Linked DNA regions of Caenorhabditis elegans. The protein of the gene in region 1 purifies or fractionates together with the protein of each later gene. This does not show direct contact. Each region holds a gene or a part of one and is shown in the gene's direction. Other genes may lie near its edges.

Evidence for each region.
Region 2: the proteins of ulp-1 (region 1) and dnc-5 fractionate together in Caenorhabditis elegans (co-fractionation; one large-scale study listed by BioGRID). This does not show direct contact.
Region 3: the proteins of ulp-1 (region 1) and Y54E10A.17 fractionate together in Caenorhabditis elegans (co-fractionation; one large-scale study listed by BioGRID). This does not show direct contact.

The regions. Positions count from the first base shown.
Region 1 is NC_003281.10:5,164,796-5,172,164, reverse strand, and holds ulp-1 (Sentrin-specific protease), read left to right. Parts: upstream 1-2,365; 5' UTR 2,366-2,425; coding exon 2,426-2,465; intron 2,466-2,513; coding exon 2,514-2,615; intron 2,616-2,681; coding exon 2,682-2,818; intron 2,819-3,340; coding exon 3,341-3,643; intron 3,644-3,690; coding exon 3,691-3,972; intron 3,973-4,278; coding exon 4,279-4,431; intron 4,432-4,483; coding exon 4,484-4,581; intron 4,582-4,629; coding exon 4,630-5,361; intron 5,362-5,437; coding exon 5,438-5,516; intron 5,517-5,718; coding exon 5,719-5,886; 3' UTR 5,887-6,506; downstream 6,507-7,369. Other genes in the region: prp-19 (Pre-mRNA-processing factor 19), read left to right, coding at 123-275, 372-1,110, 1,174-1,556, 1,606-1,809; T10F2.2 (Mitochondrial ornithine transporter 1), read left to right, coding at 6,874-7,108. UniProt on the Caenorhabditis elegans protein: Protease that deconjugates smo-1 from targeted proteins and may catalyze the processing of smo-1 to its mature form.
Region 2 is NC_003279.8:2,879,950-2,885,781, reverse strand, and holds dnc-5 (Dynactin subunit 5), read left to right. Parts: upstream 1-2,327; 5' UTR 2,328-2,341; coding exon 2,342-2,458; intron 2,459-3,420; coding exon 3,421-3,754; intron 3,755-4,757; coding exon 4,758-4,861; 3' UTR 4,862-4,906; downstream 4,907-5,832. Other genes in the region: arx-1 (Actin-related protein 3), read left to right, coding at 1-37, 1,823-1,918; Y71F9AL.8 (Myb_DNA-bind_3 domain-containing protein), read right to left, coding at 4,927-5,013, 5,392-5,637.
Region 3 is NC_003279.8:3,204,391-3,211,142, forward strand, and holds Y54E10A.17 (DOMON domain-containing protein), read left to right. Parts: upstream 1-2,371; 5' UTR 2,372-2,413; coding exon 2,414-2,518; intron 2,519-3,600; coding exon 3,601-3,687; intron 3,688-3,743; coding exon 3,744-3,876; intron 3,877-4,560; coding exon 4,561-4,625; intron 4,626-4,714; coding exon of another isoform or gene 4,715-4,822; exon of another isoform or gene 4,823-5,389; coding exon 5,390-5,458; intron 5,459-5,698; coding exon 5,699-5,836; 3' UTR 5,837-5,882; downstream 5,883-6,752. Other genes in the region: fog-1 (RRM domain-containing protein), read left to right, coding at 6,668-6,729.

The DNA.
Region 1 (7,369 bases):
ACGTATTTATTGACCACTCGTTCGATAAATGTAATTATCCTACAAAATTCGCATTGAAACTTTCTTCGTTTATGTCCCACGTCAATCAAGCGGTTTCGTGTATATTTTGCTACTTTCAGGAGATGTCTTTCGTGTGCGGAATCAGTGGTGAACTGACCGAAGACCCAGTCGTCTCTCAAGTCTCAGGGCACATCTTTGATCGTCGGCTGATCGTTAAATTCATTGCCGAAAACGGAACAGATCCGATCAGCCATGGAGAGCTTTCTGAAGACCAGGTTTGTCAACCTTGCAATTATCTTCACTGACGTGAAACTTCGAAATGATAATTCATTGAAAAAACAAAATAATAATTTCTAAAATTCATTTTTTAGCTCGTTTCATTGAAAAGTGGCGGCACTGGATCAGCACCACGCAATGTCTCTGGAACATCCATCCCATCTCTACTAAAAATGCTTCAAGACGAGTGGGATACAGTAATGCTCAACAGCTTCTCTCTCCGACAACAACTCCAAATTGCTCGTCAAGAACTTTCTCACTCTCTGTACCAACACGATGCCGCTTGTCGTGTTATTTCCCGCCTCTCCAAAGAATTGACCGCTGCTAGAGAAGCATTGTCTACTTTGAAACCACACACATCGGCGAAAGTTGACGATGATGTCAGCATTGACGAGTCTGAAGATCAACAAGGTCTTAGTGAGGCAATTCTGGCAAAACTTGAAGAGAAATCAAAGAGTCTGACTGCTGAACGTAAACAACGAGGAAAAAATCTTCCTGAAGGACTTGCCAAAACAGAAGAGCTCGCCGAGCTGAAACAGACAGCATCTCACACTGGAATTCATTCGACTGGAACTCCTGGAATTACTGCATTGGATATCAAGGGAAATTTGTCACTTACCGGAGGAATTGATAAAACCGTTGTCTTGTATGACTATGAAAAGGAACAGGTTATGCAAACATTCAAGGGGCATAACAAGAAGATCAACGCAGTTGTTTTGCATCCGGATAATATTACTGCAATCTCTGCTTCTGCTGATTCACATATTAGAGTCTGGAGTGCAACTGATTCGTCTTCGAAGGCTATTATTGATGTCCATCAGGCACCCGTTACAGGTGAGATATTTGAAAAAAATTCGCTAGCTGTAATTCTTCTATTGAACAAACAATGTTTTACAGATATCTCCCTCAATGCATCCGGTGATTACATTCTCTCCGCTTCTGATGATTCTTACTGGGCATTCTCCGACATTCGTTCCGGAAAATCGCTTTGCAAGGTTTCAGTTGAACCAGGATCACAAATTGCCGTTCATTCCATCGAGTTCCATCCTGATGGTCTTATTTTTGGAACTGGAGCTGCGGATGCCGTTGTGAAGATTTGGGATTTGAAGAATCAAACCGTGGCTGCTGCATTCCCGGGACATACTGCTGCCGTTCGTTCGATTGCGTTTTCTGAAAACGGATATTATTTGGCTACGGGATCAGAGGATGGAGAGGTCAAATTATGGGATCTTAGAAAATTGAAGAATCTGAAAACTTTCGCTAACGAAGAGAAACAACCGGTAAGAAATTGTTAAGCAAATGTTTAATGAAAAAATATAATTTTTTCAGATCAACTCCCTGTCCTTCGACATGACTGGAACATTCCTAGGAATTGGTGGCCAAAAAGTTCAAGTTTTGCATGTGAAGAGCTGGAGTGAAGTTGTATCACTTTCTGATCATTCTGGACCAGTCACTGGAGTTAGATTCGGAGAAAATGCTCGTTCATTGGTGACGTGTTCATTGGATAAGAGTCTCCGAGTATTCTCTTTCTAATTGTTTTTATTACCATTTATTACTAAGTTATTCAAAATTTCACCACATTTTTCCCGTTTCGTTTCCTTGTTTTTTTTGTATTCCGGATTGTTCAGTCAAGTTGAAAATATTCCCATCTATAGAAAAGCTGACAAACTATTATTCTTTCTCCATCTCTCGTTACCATATATTATCGATTCCAAAAATTCTCCTTTTCACTGTGAATCAACAAAAAAAAAAGAGTTGATTGGCTGTCTTCCTGTGGTGAGATCTCTTTCTATTTTTATCTATTGGATTTTATTTTGTTCACATTTATCTTTTTAACAGTTCAACTTTTCTCCAGATTCCCCAAATTTTATTCATTTCATTCAAAAATGATCTGCAGCCAATCTCCTCCGCTTCTATCCCATTCATCTATTCTTTTATTAAAAGTAATTTATGCAATAATTGAATGATTACGTACTGCCTAGAGGTTAATTGCCTTCTTTATTTTGGCTGAAAAACTTAAAATGTTGCCCTTTGTGATAGTATTTACTATAGCAAAAATCTTTTAAAGCAGCTAAAAACTATATTTCAGGATAGCTACTTGAATCTGGAACATCAAAAATAGACGATATTCGATTGAAAGAGAAACGGAATGTCACGTAGGTCTGATTTATCAGACAAAGACTCTCAATGTAGGAGAAGTGAATGAAAAATAAGCTGAAATTAATTAAAATATTTAGCAAGAAAACGACATTGGTTAACCGATCAAGCTGTTACAAACGAAGAAAAAGAGCAGTCGCCAACAAAAAGAACCAGAAAAACGAAATCTCAAGGATTGGGTGGTGAGTGAATCCTTTTCCTTGATCCATAAAAGTATAAATTTGAAATAGCGATCTTCAACATTTCAGGGCTTTTCAATACCTTCTTCGGAATGTTCGTAAGCAGTAATTCGGGAGAAAAGGAGAAAACTGAAGTTTCGGGCGAAGTTCAAGTTCAAGAGGATGATGAAATTATAGTGGAAGGAACGACGAGGAGAGTTGCTGAGGTATATTTTGAGAATAAATTAACTTTCGGAGTTAAGTTCAGCAAATACCGTATATTCTCTATTAGTGCTGCATGCAGCACTAATTTCCAGGCCCTTTTTTAATGCAGCACTATTAGAGACTGCAGTACTACTGGAGACTGCAGCATTAATTTTCGAACGGCTATTTTCAATTATAGATCACTAGTTTTTAATCACAAAACCTCATATTTTAAGCAGAAATTCATAAAAATTGCGAACTTTTGTAAAAAAAAGACCCAATAATTCAATTACTTTCCTAAATTATCAAAAAATCATAAAATATACAAAAAAATACCCAAAAATATCGAAACTGTCAAGTGACTCTTTCAATAGAAAATGGGGTGCAGCACTAATAGAGACTGCAGCACTATTTTTCGGACCCTTTTTGAATGCAGCACTATTAGAGACTGCAGTACTACTGGAGATGCAGCACTAATAGAGAATATACGGTATATAAACCCCCCCCCCCCCCCCCCTAACTAAACATGACCACAGTTGTTACAGAACAAGAAATATATGATTTTTCTGAACGAAGATGCACCTGTGAGAGCCAATGCTGGATCAGAGGAAAATGAAGTTATCATTGAGAAACATGTTCAAAAAAACGTTGAAATTCGGAATGACGAAGAAAAACAAGAAGTTCAAGGAGATTTAGTGCTCACCTTATCATCTTCCCCAAAGTCGCCAAAAAATTTGGAAAAGTCATTTGAAGTACAACAGGATGATGAGGAACCAGACGTTCTTTTCGAGAAAGTAGTCAAGACACCAAATAAGCAATTGCAAGAAGCAAGACGATTTCAGAATGAGGTATTAGTATTCGAATAATTCTATTATAATAAATTATCAAACTTTAGTTGATCTTTCTCAACGACAATCCAGACACACCAGACGATGTATCAGTTATTTCTGACTCTAGGAGCAAAGAATTTATCTCACCGACACCCGATGACAGTGTTAGTCGTCCGATTACTCCGAGCTTATCATCATTATCAAATTACACATCAAATAATGTTCGTGATTATTGGAGACGGAATTCTGCTAAAAAGCCAGAGGTTTTGAGACGGGTCCCTGTTAGACATCAATTTAAGCACTCAACTTCTGTTCGGAAAATGAACACGATTATTGATTTAAAGAAGGTAATTATTTCTTTATGAAGCAGAGAAACTAATGTGAGAAATTACAATTTTCAGTGTATCAAACTGAAGCTTCAGAAATTAATTCTAAATGCCAAAAACTTCTTATTATTAAACTTTATAGGTTTTTTTAAAAACCATTTTGGAAGATTTTTCTTCCCAAATGGTCCGCAAAACCTACAAGATTCAATTTTTTAACATTAAAATTGATTTTGGAACGGATACATTAGACGATTTTGTTATTTAGAATTAATTTCGGTCCACTGTTTTTATAGATAATTATTTATTTTTAAGGTTTAATTATTTCAGATAAAAAATCACCTGTCATCTCGCGATCGACTTCTTCAAGGAGTTGTTGCAAGTGGACAATACGAAGCTAAAGCGATTTCTGGAATTGTTGAAAAAAAACCGAAGAAAATGCAGAGAACATCATCAACTGACATATTAGCCAGAGCGAAGAATGTATGTTCAGGATATTACTGTTATTTAAAACTTTCTGATCTTTTTTCTTCAGAAAATCGCAGAATTGGGAGGATCCCGAAGCAACACCCCTTCACTCTTATCAAGAGAACCATCCATCATCATTGATAGCGAAGAGTCCACTTCTTCAAGGTATTTATTTAAGTTTTTCATCAATTCAAGCAATAATATAAATTTAAGTTACCGCCAACACGCCCGATCAAATTCGTCGGAATCTGATTCATACAGGAAACTCAATGATATTCTCTCGCAAATTAATAGCCTTGGAATCGGTTCCGCATATCGAGGACCGCAGAGATATCAGAATTCTTATCAATTGTCGAAGCAGAAGGAGGATAAACTTCTAGAAGAGGCTCGGATACGAGAAGGACATCGCTCTCAAACAAGAGGTGATCGATTGGAAGATGTTCGGAAGAGACTTGAATTGCAAGGAATCGCTATTCGTCCGAAGGTGGAGAAGAAGAAAGTTGATGATTTTATGGCTTTACCTGATGCTGCTGATGCTCTTGTAGAAAGAGCATGGAGCGGAGGGAATCCAAATGAACAATTTGTGGATGCATTCAGCATTCAGATCTGTAAAAAAGATCTTGCAACATTGAGTGGATTGCATTGGCTGAATGATGAGATCATCAATTTCTATCTTCAATTGATTTGTGATCGGAGCAATGGCGATTCGAAATATCCAAAGATCTATGCATTCAACACATTCTTTTATTCCAATATTGTTTCAAAAGGATACGCGAGTGTGAAACGATGGACAAGAAAAGTCGATATCTTTGCATTCGACATCGTTTTGGTGCCAGTTCATCTTGGAATGCATTGGTGTATGGCTGTTATCGATATGGGCGAAAAGAAGATTGAGTTTTATGACTCTCTTTATGATGGAAATACAGCCGTTTTGCCAGCATTGCGGTTAGTTTTTTGAGTGTTTTTGGTTTTTATTTAAAAAACTCACAGAGAATATATCAATAAATATTTTATATTTCAGAGGTTACTTGGAAGCTGAATCATTGGATAAGAAAAAGACAGCAATGAACTTTTCTGGATGGACAATTCAACAGATGACGGTATATTGAATTTTAAAAAAATTAAATAAAAAAAAGGATTTTTACTTTAAATTTATTTCTGAAAAAAAGTTTTTTTTTAGAAGTCCAGATGTTTGGCTCAATCACTCTTTTTTTGATATCTATGCTCTCTAAAACAACCAGTAATACTTCTGAAATTACACACACAAAAAGATCTTCAACACGCGATAATCATCTTGTTTAGGACATTCCTCGTCAACAAAATGGCAGTGACTGTGGAGTATTCTCATGCCAATTCGGTGAATGGGCATCTCGACGAACGACGCCTCGCTTCACGCAGAAAAATATGCCATACTACAGAAAGCGAATGGTTTACGAGATTGTTTCGAAGAAGTTACTCGCAACTATTTGATTCTAGAAGATTAAAAGTGTCATAATTCATAGTTTTGTTTCCGGAAAAGTAGCTGTAAAATGTATTTTCTTCTCATTGGGCATAATTAAAACTTATATTTTGTCGGTGTCGTAAGCCCGAATCATCTAGAAAGTCTTTAATTTTCTGTATTTCGAATTAACCATATTTCCCATTTTCGTAGCATTTCTTCATTATCCAAAATATCGTTGTGATTCTCATCACTAATTATAACTTTTGATTTCATTTCATACCGTGTAAAGAATGTTCATACAAAAGATTAAAGATGATCGACGGTGTCAGATCACATCACATTATCACTTGTCACGTGGTCATTCTCAGATGACGTTGTTTTGTTTCAAAAGGTGATGCAAACTTTCCCATCCCGTTTTTAAGATTTTTTTGTCTCTGTGGATCTCTGGCCTTTTTTCTCTTTTCTCTTTTTCATTCTTCCTTTTATCCGAGTTTTATTTGATTTTTGACGTATTTATTAACAATTTTCTCTCCCTTCCACCTTTCAATTCCCAGTTCAATAATATCAATCAGCTTTCTCTGTTATATCAATATATTTCACTCCCGATCCCCGTCACCATTGCAAGTTGCAATAAATACAATTTCTTCACTTTTTTTTCGTTGAAATTTATTTTTTTTTCTTCTTGGTTTTATTTTCAACCTCATGGTTATATATTTTGAAGTTTATACAGATTCAATGTTTTATTTTCTAAACAGAGGAAATTTAAATCCTCCTTTATTGTGCTCATCGTGATCACAAAGTCACAAAAAATTTAACTTCCCAAAACCAAAAGAAATTGTCGTTTTGTTTTCCTCCTCACGACTCAAAAGTTAAATTTTTTGTTTTTTGGTCCGAAAAACCAACAAAACCAGCTATTTAGCAAACAAGAAAAAATGATCGTGATCTAAATTTTCTGGAAATTTTCAAAACCATTTCTTCCAATTTTTGTTATTTCAGAAAATAAAATAGATAGAAATATGCATGAAAGCGGTGAACCTACAACTGCAACGGGTGATGCTTCAGCCAATCATTTTAAAGATGGAATTATCGATTTATTGGCTGGAACAGCTGGTGGAATTGCCAACGTGTATGCTGGACAACCATTAGATACAGTTAAAGTAAAAGTACAAACATTCCCGAATCTCTATTCAAATTGGATTGTTTGTCTCAAGGATACTTATAAATTGGACGGAATTCGAGGACTTTACGCTGGTTTGTTATTTTTGTTTCGAAAATTTTGAGCTTAGTCTGGATTTCTGAATCTAAAAAAAGAAAAACAATCCTTTGTACTGAACACGTTCCATGCAACTATAAAAAAGAGTACTTCTTGAAGTAAAAATTCTCACCCTTTCTGGGAAGAACAATATAACGTGTTTTCAAAAAAAACCTTTTTTTGCAAAAGTTTCAGATTCTTTTTAAATAAAATACAATTTCTAAAAAGCTTCCAGAAAGCTCAGCAATTTTTTTGAACGT
Region 2 (5,832 bases), on another chromosome or scaffold:
TGCGGTTTGGTTTGGAGGATCTATGCTGGCGTCCACTGTGAGTTTTTGTCAGTTGGAAATATTTGTAAAAACTATTTTTTTTAATGGAATACTGGAAAAGTTGAGTAAAAATCGATTTTTCTGAATAAAAAACTTTTTTTTTTCACAAAAAAAGCTTTTTCAAAACGGAATAATATGTTTTAAAACGTTTTTTTAATGAAAAAAAAAAATTTTTAAACCACATTTTTCCGGAAAACCTTGAAAAGTGCATCCACTGTGAGTTTTTGTCAGTTGGAAATATTTGTAAAAAATATATCTAAAAAAAGAATATTGAAGAAATACTGGAAAAGTTGAGTAAAAATCGATTTTTCTGAATAAAAAACTTTTTTTTTCACAAAAAACAGCCTTATCAAATGGGAATAATATGCTTTAAAACAGTTTTTAATGAAAAAAACCATTTTTTCCGGTAAACTTTGAAAAGTTGATTAAAAATTAATAAATTGAGCATAAATTTTTAAAAAAAATGAGCATAAATTTTGAAAATCTCAAAAAATTGCTATTTTTTCCGAGAAAATGCATTTTTGACCGAAATTTTGGTACTTTTTTTGCAAAAAATATCAATTCTTTCGTTGAAAATAATTTATTCGAAAATTTGAATGAAAATTAAACTTTTTCACTAAAAAAAACTATATTTTTTGAATTTCGTAAATTTTTTAAAAAAATCGATTTTATTATTTTTTACTAACCAACTAATTTTTCCAACAAAAAAAATTTAATTTTCGATTTTTTCTGTAAAATTCCCAAAAATAATTGATTTTTTTTGAGAAAAATTTCAAAAATTCGGATTTTTATTCGAAAAATTAAAAAAAAAAGTTTTATTCAGAGCTTCGAATGAAATTTCTGAAATTTGTATTCCAGTTACCTCAACAAATTTTTAAAAATTTATATTTTTAATTTTTTGGCAATTTTTCAAAACTTTTTAAAACTCAAAAATATCCAAATTTTCAGTCGGAAAAAAATTGAAAATTTTATTTTTTTTTTGGAAATTTTTGAATTTTTATTCAGAATAAAGTCATAAATTCCCCCGAAATTTGAAAGTGAAAAAAATCAAAAAAAAAAAAATTAGATTTCGAATTTAAGAAATAAAAAAATTTCACTGAAAAACTATGGTTTTTGAAATAAATAAAGCACTATTTCTGAACAAGTTTTGAAAATTCAAAAAAAAATCGATTTTTACTAGCCAACTAATTTTTCCAAAAAAAAAATCTAATTTTTGATTTTTTTTTCTTTGAAATTCCCAAAAAAAAGTCAATTTTAAGTTTTATCCGGAAATTATATTTTTAATTTGTTTTTCTTCAAATTTGCAAAACTTTTTGAAACTCAAAAAATTGAAAATTGTTTTTTTTTTTGGAAACTTTTTAAAAAATTTTTATTCAGAATAAATTAAATTCTCCCGAAATTTAGTGAAAAAAAACTGTAGATTTCGAATTTAAATTAAATTTTAAAAAAATCGGTAGAATTCGAAAAAAAACAAATGTTTCCGATTTTTTCCAAAAAAAAATCTAATATTTGATTTTTTTTTTTGAAATTCCCAAAAAAGTCAATTTTAAGTTTTTGAGAAAAAATTGAAAAAAAATTTTATTCGGAAATTATATTTTTAATTTTTTTTTGGCAATTTTTCGAAACTTTTTGAAACACAAAAATAGCCAAGATTTCAGTCGGAAAAAATTGAAAAATGAAATTTTTTTTGGAAACTTTTTTAAATTTTAATTTAGAATCAATTAAATTCCCCCAAAATTTAGTGAAAAAATCACCAAAAAAACTATCAATTCCAAATTTTCAGTCGGAATTCTACCAAGTTTCACACACAAAGGCCGAATACATGGAGAGAGGACCATCGATTTGTCGTTACAATCCAGTTTTCGGAGCTCTTACTTAATTTTTTTTCTCCATTTTTTTGTATTTTTTCCCTATATATTTTCTCCAATTTTAATCCCTTCTCCACGTTTTTTTCTCTCTAATTCCCGAAATTTTTGAACACACATTTCACTTTTTTTCATCTTATTCTGGGCGATTCGTGTATGTACTTATTATTTTTATTTCCAAAAATTACCAATTTTTTAAAACCTTTTGAACGAAAAAATTCTCGAAGAAATTTGATTCCTGCGCCCCCAATTTTTTTTCTTAAATTGTGTTTTTTTGCATGACTATTGCTTTAATTTATTCCCCCGTTATATATAAATTCCCTTATTTTTGTAGTCTTTTTGGAGAAAAATTCCGCTCGATTTGAAAAAGTAGAACTCTTTTGTGATATTTTTGAATTTAAAAAAAAACTAGAAAAATTTCAGACGCTGATTTTCAGATGGATCTTCCAATTGTCTACTACGATGAGACGGAATGGGCGAAGACGCATACGGGAAATAAAGTGAATAAGAAGCATGCAATTGCTGGAACACAGAATATTTTAATTGCTGGAAAAGTGAGAATTTTTGGAAATTTTTAGAAAAAATTCAGTGTTTTCCAAGTATTTTGAAAAAAAAAAGAAATTAAAAAAATAGCGCAATATAATTTTTCTAGATTTTTGGAATAAGCTATACAAATTTTTTGGCAAATTCGGCAATTTGCCGGAATTTAAAATTTCTGGCATATTTGCCAAACCGGCAATTTGGAAAAAATTTAAATTTTCGGCAAATCGGCAAATTGGCAATTTACCAAAACTTAAAATTACCAACAGTTTGGCGAAAATTAAAATTTCTTGAAAATTCGGTAAACCGGCTGAAGATGAAAATTCCGGCAAATCAGTAATTTTCCGAAAATGAAAATTTCCGGCAAATCGGCAAGTGGGCCGGAATTGAGCATTTTAGGAATATTCGGCAAACCGGCAAATATGCCAAATATTCAAACTTCCGGCACACTGGCAATTTGCCAAAAATTAAAATTTCCGTAAATTTGCGAGAAAAAAAAATTTCCGGCAATTTTCCAAAAATTAAAATTTCCGACAGACCGGCAATTTTCCGAAAATGAAAATTTCCGGCAAACTTGACAAACCGGCAATTTGCCGGAATTTAAAAATTCCGGCAAATAGGCAATTTGACAAAAATTACAATTTTCGGCAAATCGGCAATTTTCCAAAAATGAAAGTATTCGGCAAACCGGCAATTTTCGAAAAATTGAAATTTTCCGGCAAATAAGCAATTTGTCAAAAATTGAAATTTTCGGCAAACGACAAACCGGCAATTTGTAAAAATTTAAAATTTCCGGCAAACCGGCAATTTCCCAAAAATTCTAATTTTTGGCAAATTCGGTAAACTGTCAAGTTGCCAAAATCTAAAATTTCCGGCAAATTCGGCAAACCGGCAATTTTGGTACACCGGCAATCTGCCAAAAATAAATAGCCGCCCACCCCTGATTTGAAACATCAAAAAAAGTGAAATTTTGCAGACAATAATCGAGGAAGGAGTGACAATTCGCGGTGATCTGGCGACAGTTAAAATTGGAAAATATTGTGTTCTAAAGTCTCGATGTAACATCCGTCCATGCATGAAAATATTCAGCAAAAAACCAACAATGTGCAACGTTATGATTGGTGATTATGTATTTATTGAAGAAGAATGTGTCGTCAATGCCGCTCAAATCTACGCATTTGTACATCTTGGAGCTCGTGCGGTGCTCGGAAATGGTTGTGTGATTCGAGAATGTTCGAGGGTTCTTCCGGATACTGTAGTTCCAGCGGACGCACTTTTTCCACCGTACTCAACGATCGGCGGGAATCCTGGTCAGTATGCCGTCGAAAAAGCGAAAATTTGAAATTTTCCTAATTTTTTTGAGAGCCGGAAAATCGAAAAACTGGAAAAAAAACGTTTTTAAAAGCACAAAAATTGCCTGTGATGATTGAAAAATTGGAATTTTGACGGAAAATCGAAAATTCCTAATTTTTCGAACTTTTTAAGTAGGAAAAATCGAAAAAACTGGAAAAATTGAGAAATTTCTTTCAAAAAACATTTTTAAAAAAACTGAAATTATTGAAAAATTGGAATTTTGGCGAAAAATCGAAAATTATCGATTTTTCTTATTTTTCTTATTTTTCTGAGCTCCCTAATTTTCAAAAAATGGTAGAATCGCTGTGTACTCCCCGAGGAGAAGTTTTAATTTTATTCTACAGTAAATTTTCAGTTTTTGACTCGATTTTTTTCATTTTTGGACCATTTTAGGCTTTTCAGTTTAAAAAAGGAAAATTAGAAAAAATTTAATGAAGATTCAATTTTTATTTTAAAAAAACACATTTCTTTGAAAAAAAATGGCCGGATATTATCGAAAATTTGAATTTTTTACCAAAAAATCTGAAATTTTTTTTTGGATTTTCTAGAAAATAAAACTTTCAGAAAAAAATGCAGATTTATCAGAAAGAATTTCTCAAAAATTTGAAAAAAATTTCCGAAAAATCGTACTAATCGAAAATTTAAAGTTTTTTTTTTAATTTTTAGAAAAAATTAAAATTTTCAATAATCTCCGGTAGTTTCTTAATTTTTTTTGGAAATAAATGTTCTTTAAATTTCTCGATTTTCAAAAAAAAAATTTTTTTTCCAAAATCGATCATTTTTGCTGAAAACTGATTTTTAAAATTTTGAAAAAAAAAACCTCCTCGAGGACTACACCGGCAGTTCTTCCATTCTCCAAGAAATTTTTGAGCCGCGAAAAGAAAATGAAATTTCCGGCGAATTCGGCAATTTTCCAAAAATTGCCGGAATTTTTCCAAAACAAAATCAACTCTTTTTCAGCTCAAGTGGTCGGCACTGAACCCCGTTGCACCGAGAACCTGATGATGGAGGCCATAACGATGTACTATGATAATTTCGTACCGAAACAACGAGCTATCGCATAATTTTATTGTAAATAAAACGGGATGATTTCAATAAATAATTCTTAACATTGGAGGGGCGAGCATGATCAACAATGAACAATATAAAGTGGCAACAATTTGATGGACATTTCCAAAACTTTGTTCATTAGCAGAATGTAGTTGTCGGTGGACTCCTGGAAATTTAATTTTAATTTTTTGAAAGGATTTTAATTTAAAATACTCAAAAACTAGTCCCAAATGCCAAAAAAGAAAAAAAAACGAAAAAATTCGGATTTTTTACGCCTAATTTGAATTCTCGCGCTTTTGTCTCTAAGTTCCGCCTATAAAAACCGTGCCGCACTCTGGTTTTTTCAATTTCGACACAGATTCCTGTTTTTTTTTTCTAATTTTCAATAATTGTTTAACATTGCTGACCGTATTCTTAATTGAAAATTAGAAAAAAAAACAGTGCGGCACGGTTTTATGGGCGGAGTTTAGAGACAAAAGCGCGGCGATTCAAGTAAAAAATTCAGGTAAATCGAGAAGTTTTCAATTTCTCGGAATAAACTCACATCAACACAAACTGTCACATAATACTCAAAAAATTGGAAAAAGCAAAAAACGGCACGAATGATATGCTGATTGGTGAATCTTTTGTGTAGCTCTTCGCGTATTTTACGGAAATATTGCATGCGAAGGTGGTTTTCAGTGAACTTTTTGACATCAATCATTATCCAATCGGCTTTATTTGGATCGTCGAACATTTTTCCGTACAGGTGGTCTAGATTTTGTTGGTTCTCGAGTTCAGCGAACATTTTCTGAAAAAAAAGAAACTGTATTTTATACGAAATTGTGTCATTTTTAGGGCCAAAAATTCCAAACCAATCAGCGAAGGTGGGCGGAGCCAGGCGCTGATTGGTTTGAAGTTCCTCTCCGATTTTTAATTTTTTTTTCCAAAAAAAAAACGAGAAGTTCCGTTTTAAGTGTTTGCTTAAAGCCAAAAACCGGAAAAA
Region 3 (6,752 bases), on another chromosome or scaffold:
TTGCTGATTTGCCACAAATTGACGATTCCGGGAATTTTCCGATTTGCCGGAATATTTAAATTTTGGTAATATGCCAATTTGCCGATTTGCCGTAAATTTTCAATTCCGGCATTTTGCCGATTTGCCTGAAATTTTAATTTCGGCAATTTTCCGATTTGCCTGAAATTTTATTTCCGTCATTTTGAAAATTTTTCGGAAATTTTCAAGTTTGGCAGTTTGCCGATTTGCCAGAAATGTTCTATTCCGGCAATTTGCCAGTTTCCGTTTTGCCGGAAATTTTCAATTCCTGCGATTCGCCGATTTGCCGGTAAAAAATCGTTTACCTCTGGTTTGATCTACGTAAATCTACAAAACATGCGGATGTTGAGACGCAGAATTCTCAACTGATTTTGTATGCTGACGCCACTTTTTTTCGGGCAAAAAATTCCCGCATTTTTGGAGATCACCCGTGATGGGACATCCTGACACCAATTTATAAATTGTACAAAAGTGAGTCATTAGTTGTTTCAATGCTCCATTGCTCTTCATTGAAACACCCCTAAAATCAACAATTTCTTTCTGTTTACCCCTGATGAACTAAATATGTCTCAACGATTTACTATAAATATCTCGATCCCAACTTTAAAATAATTTTTTTTTTCTTATCGGCAATTAGCCCGAAATAAAATATCCGGCAAATCGGCAAAAAATGACTAAAGGAACTTCGCCAAAGTCAGCGTCATCTTTTGATCAACCTATTTTTTTCCAATTCTTCCTTCTGCCAATGACCCTGAAACGTCACTTAATCATTTTTTTTCACCCACAATATGATAAGATCACTGCTACGGCGACCTGTTCATCCCCAAAACTGTTCTTTATTCTTTCTAAACGAATTTTGGTCGTGATCTCTGTAAGCCAGAGAAAAATGGAGAAGTAGGTCGTTTTCCTGGTTATTTTAAGCGGTTTATTTCTCAAAAAATTTCATTTAGTACACGTGGTGCCAGGCTGTCCCATAAAGGCTTGATCTACAAAAAATGCGGGAATTTTTTGCCCGGAAAAAAGTGACGTTAGCACATTCTTAACCATGCGAAATCAGTTGAGAACTCTGCGTCTCTTCTCCCACATATTTTGTAGATCTATGTAGATCAAACCGAAATGAGACACTCTGGCACCACGTGCGCGCGCAAATGAGGAAAGCGCTGACCAATCAGCGAATGACAAAATGTGCTGATTGGTCGGCGCAGCCTTGGTTTGCGCTCGAATTTAAAATAGAAAACCTAAATTTTTTCGATTTTCCAATATATTCCGAGAAAAAAAAAATTTTTTTCCTTTTCAAAATTCCTTTTTAGAATTAGAAAATTGTAAAATGTTCTGTTAATTTTTAAAACATTTTTTTCGAATTATTCCGATTTGCTGTTTTTTCGGCAAATTCGGCAAATCAGCAGTTTGTCAAAAATAAAAAAAATCAGTTCCAGCAATTTGCGGAATTGCCGATTTGCCGGAAATTTCGATTCTGGCAATTTGCCAATTTGCCGGAAATGCCGATTTGCCGGAAATTTGCCAGAAATGCCGATTTGCCAATTTGCCGGAAATGCCGATTTACCGGAAATTGTAATTCCGGCGATTTGCCGATTTGCCGGAATTTTCAATTCTGGCAATTTGCTGATTTGCCAGAAATTTGGGAAACGACAATTTACCGGAAATTTCAATTCCGGCAACTTGCCGAATTGCCGATTTGCCAAAAATTTCAATTCCGGCGATTTGCCAGAAATTTGTCAAATTCCCAATTTGCAGGAAATTCCGGAAACGACGATTTACCGGAAATTTCAATTCCGGCAATTTTCCGATTTGCTGTGAATTTGCCGAAAATGTTGATTCACCGATTGGCCGGAATTTTCGAATCCGGAAATTTGCCGCTTTTCCGGCAATTTTCCGATTTGCCGTTTTTCGGCAAATCGACAGTTTGCCAAAAATAAAAATAAAACAAATTTTAATTCCGGAAATTTGCCAATTTTTCTCCATCAATTTTTCCCGGTTTTTCGTTGTTAGTTTTTTTCGGGACTACTATAATAATCCCAAGTCAACTTTTTTCCTTCAGTTTCTTGATAAACGTCTTCATCTCTTCATCTATATTACAATTCACTCTCTCTTTCTCTCTTTCTCTCATATTCTAACACTATAATTCTCGAAACAAAAACTCGGGTCGTTTGGGGTCGAATCTGGTTTATCATTCGTCATTAATAGACGACTTATGTCTTCAATTGCTTCCTCATTTACAATATTTTCTTTCTTTTTCCTTTTTTCTCTCTCTCTTCAATCTTCTTCTATTTGTTTTCTTACTTTTCCTTCCATTATTTGCCAACAATCCCTGCCAACCAGTCCAAAACCCATCACCTCTCCTCATTTCTTAAACATATTTCCCCAATTTCAGAGAATGTTCGGCTTCTTGTTGGGTACACTTTGTGTTTCTCTAGCTATTCTTGGAGCACAATCAGCTAAATGCACAGCTAAAAGTGGAGATATTAGTGCTCGGTGGCAGGTGAGTCATTTTGTTTGAGCACAACTCAAGTGGTTTGTTTAAACTGATTCTTGGTGCCAATCGTTTTGAACAACTATTATGGGTACACAAAATTCTGAGAATGCGTACTGCGCAACATATTTCACGCGAAAAATATCAAAACTACAGTAATCCTTTAAGTGGCTACTGTAGCGCTTGTGTCGATTTACGGGCTCAATTTTTTAATTTATTGAAAAATGTAAATTATTGAAATGATGTAACTTTTCGAAAAAAAAAAATCATTTCGAAAATCGAGCCTGTAAATCGACCTACAGTAGTCATTTAAAGAATTACTGTAGTTTTGATATTTTGCGCGTCAAATATGTTGTGCAATACGCATTCTAAGAATTTTAGTGTTCCCTTAATATATTTATTGAAAAACTAGAAAAAAGAAAAAGGCATGAAACTTTAGGGAAACGTTAGAAAAACTGAAAATGTTTTTTTAAAAGAATTAATTAAAAATAAAATATACCTTAAAATGTGCTTTTTGAGAATAATATCGTTATTGTGATGTTTCAATGACATTGAAACAATTTTCATTTTATCTGAAAAAATTTTAAAAAATACTTTTTTTTGAAAAATTTCAAAACTTTTCAGTCAATTTTTTCGCCTAAAACAATGACCATCCTAACACTTTGGAGGTAATTTTTGATTTTTTCTGCAAAAAATCTGAAAGGCTACAAGAAACATTTTTTGAAATGTTGAAATTGTGAAATTTCAGAAAAAACTAAAACTTAGAAAAAAATTTCGACTGGAAATTTTAAGCCAAAAATTTTTTTTTCCTTAAAATGGCAGAAAATAACTGGTAGGTAGGCATGAAGTAGGCAGCTTTACCCTACCCCCCAAAAAATACGGTGGCCGAGTCTTTTTTTTTTCTCGGCCACACTCAAGGTCATTTTATCAGATTTTATCAGGCCAAAGTGAAAACTGCGCAAAAATATTAGGGTTTTTTTTTCTCTGAACAAATCTGGTTTCTGATATCAATACTAAATAGTTTGCAGGCCCTGTGTCTTGTGCAGTGATTCCTTGAAAAAAAAATTGCGCGTAAGATATAATGTTTTCAGGTTGTGGATGGAGAATTAACTGTCGAAGTTACCACAAAAAACGTTGGAAACAATGAATGGTCAGCAGTTGGATTTGGACCTGATATGGTATGTAATATTACTTTCCCCTACAAACTACAAAAACTACAAACTCCAATTTGCAGAGCGATCTAATCGTTGTCATTTTCCAAGTGGTAGACTTTAAGCCAAGCCTTGTGACTGGAACGACTCAGGGATACGGAGCACCTGCACTCGATGCTTCTCCATCTGTCACTCTTCAATCTCTCGATTATAACAGTGAGTTTAGTACGCCGTGGCCTAGAAAATCAAAAACTAGGCCAAGGTGTCTTTTTCTAGGCCATGCCTTGTCTTGTTCTGACCAAGATTATTACGGGGACACTTACTGTCGAGAATGCGTACTGTGCAACTTATTTGACGCGCAAAATATCTCGCAGCGAAAACTACAGTAATTGTTTATCTGACTACTGTAGCGCTTTTGTCGATTTACAGGATCTCGATTTTTTTTTGTCATTTTTATGCTTAATTTTAAAATTCTATCGATCGATCCATTCAAAAATCGAGTTCCCGTAAATCGACAAAAGCGCTACAGTAGTCGGATAAACAATTACTGTAGTTTTCGCTACGAGATATTTTGCGCGTCAAATATGTTACGCAATACGCATTTTCGAAATTTAGTGTTCCAGTAATACCTTTAATTTAAAACTGTCGGCGGCAATACATCAAATTTAACGCGCAATTTTTTTTTAATTTCATCCGCCAATTTAAATTTGCGCGTAGAATCTGATGTATTGAATCGTTATCGCCAAAATGTACAAACACCGGCTACAATGCATCAAATTTCACGCGCAAAACTTCAATATTTGAATTTGCGCGTAAATTCTGATGTATCAGGTCATAGCTGTCTCTTCACTCCAAAACACCATATTTCACGCGCAAATTTATTATCAAATTATGTTTCAGGCAACACCCTCGTGGCTCGATTTGCTCGCCCAGTTGGCTCCCTCTCCACATGCACAACATGGAATGTAAGTTGACAAAAAATATCACTTCCCCCCCCCCCCCCCCACTTCTACCGTAACCTGTCCACCTACCTCCTCATAACACCCTGTTACAGTTCGTCACCGAAGGATCCATCGAAGACGGATCAATTGGATATCACAATGCTGCTCCACACACTGTGGAAATTTGTGCCAACAAGTGTACCCGCAAGATCTTTAACTAACTTCTTTCTCTCTTTTGCTCACTCCATTTTTATAATAATTTGGGATTCTGTTTTTGCTTGGAAAAATAAAAATAAACCTATGGCTTTGCTATCCAGGAACTCTCGGGTATACCAGAAATGCAAGAGTGCTCTACTGACAAGTGTTCTGTGTAATCCACGTGGAGAAAAATAGAAAAAAAACCCACAAAAATGACGATTTTGATTTTTAAAAAATTTCGGAAACACGGGGTTCTGGCCTTCCTCATTGAATTTTTCGCCCTCCATTGACAATCCTGCCGGACAACGCGTGGGAAAGCCGTGTACTCCACACGGACAAATACATTTAGTTTTACAACTAAAACCGAGCCGCGACGCGACACGCAACGCGCCGTAAATCTACCCCAGATATGGCCGAGCCAAAATGGCCTAGTTCGGCAAACTCTTCCATTTCAATTTATGAGGGAAGCCAGAAATCCGTAACGGAAACTCTGAAAAATTCGATTTTCCCGCCAAAAAAACTTGCGTGTGAAATCCGATGTATTAACTCCGCCCCTCTCAATGCACCATACTTTACGCGCAAGTTTTCAGTTCTTCAACGCCCAGCCATTAAATGGACCATCTGTGTCGAACCTCGGCAGCCCGGAAATTCAATTGACGGTATTAAAATTTTCATTTCACACGTGGTGTCAGAGTGTCTCATTTCGGCTTGATCTACTTAGATCTACGAAAAATGCGGGAACAGAGACGCAGAGTTCTCAACTGATTTCGCATGGTTAAGAACGTGCTGACGTCACATATATTTGGGCGAAAAATTCCCGCATTTTTTGTAGATCAAACCGTGTTAGGGCAGCCTGGCACCACGTGATTTTAACATTATTTGACATGATTTTCTTACAGGACGTGTGCCCGAATGAGTGTACAGGAGTATTTACGGAACGCGACGTGGCATATGATCCAGTACCACAGGCTGCCATATATAATAATAGAATTTCGAATCGATTCAACGGAATTTTTGATCCATCGGCTGCTTTTTAAAAATAACTTTTTTTCTTCTTGATCTCGTCAATAAATGTTTTATTTTTATTAAATTCGATATTTTTTTCAGAAATTGGAGGTTAAAAAAACTTTTTTCTAAAATTTTTAAATAATTTATCGCTTTTTCTTATATAAAACTTAATTTAAATGGTCATTTTATTAATATATTCGCAAATTCAGATAAACTATTTTCAAATTTCGCGGTCTGTGCATTTTGACGTGATGGTGTTGACGTACAGGTTACTGTAGTCACTTTTCTTCGTGGGTGGTCTTGGACCACCGATATTTTAGGCCAATCATCGATTTTTTTCGCATTTTTTGAGAATAATTTGATTTTTTTTTCAAATTAAATTAGTTTTAAAATTGAAATTTCAATTTTAATATATAAAATTCTTAATTTTTCATCTGGAAAATGAGAAAATTAGTTATCTTCGTGTGTGGTCTTGGGCCACCGAAGTTTAGGCCAATCAGCGGATTTTTAAATTTTTCGTGTTATTTTTTACATTTGTGTAAATATTGATTAATTATTTATTAAAATAATTTTGAAATTAAAATTCCAACTCTAAAATATGAAATTGTTAATTTTTCGACAAGAAAATGATTTTTCTTCATGGGCGGTCTCATTTCCACCAATTTTCTTTCCTTCTTATATGAATTATAATTTGCGAAAAAGTTAAACTCTCTTTTTAAATTAAGTGTTATTAAATCAATTTCAATTGAAATTTTTATCTCTGCCGTATTGAATCTTCACAGAAAACGCGTTTTCTTCAGACCTCCCACGAAGAAAAGTCAATTTTTCGAAATTTTCCCATTTTTCAGAGCTTAAAACCAATGTTTCCCAGTGGTCACAATGAAAAATGGACTCGTGGTTACCAGCGGGAGAATTCTCTGTTGTAAGTTACAGCTTCTTTTTGAG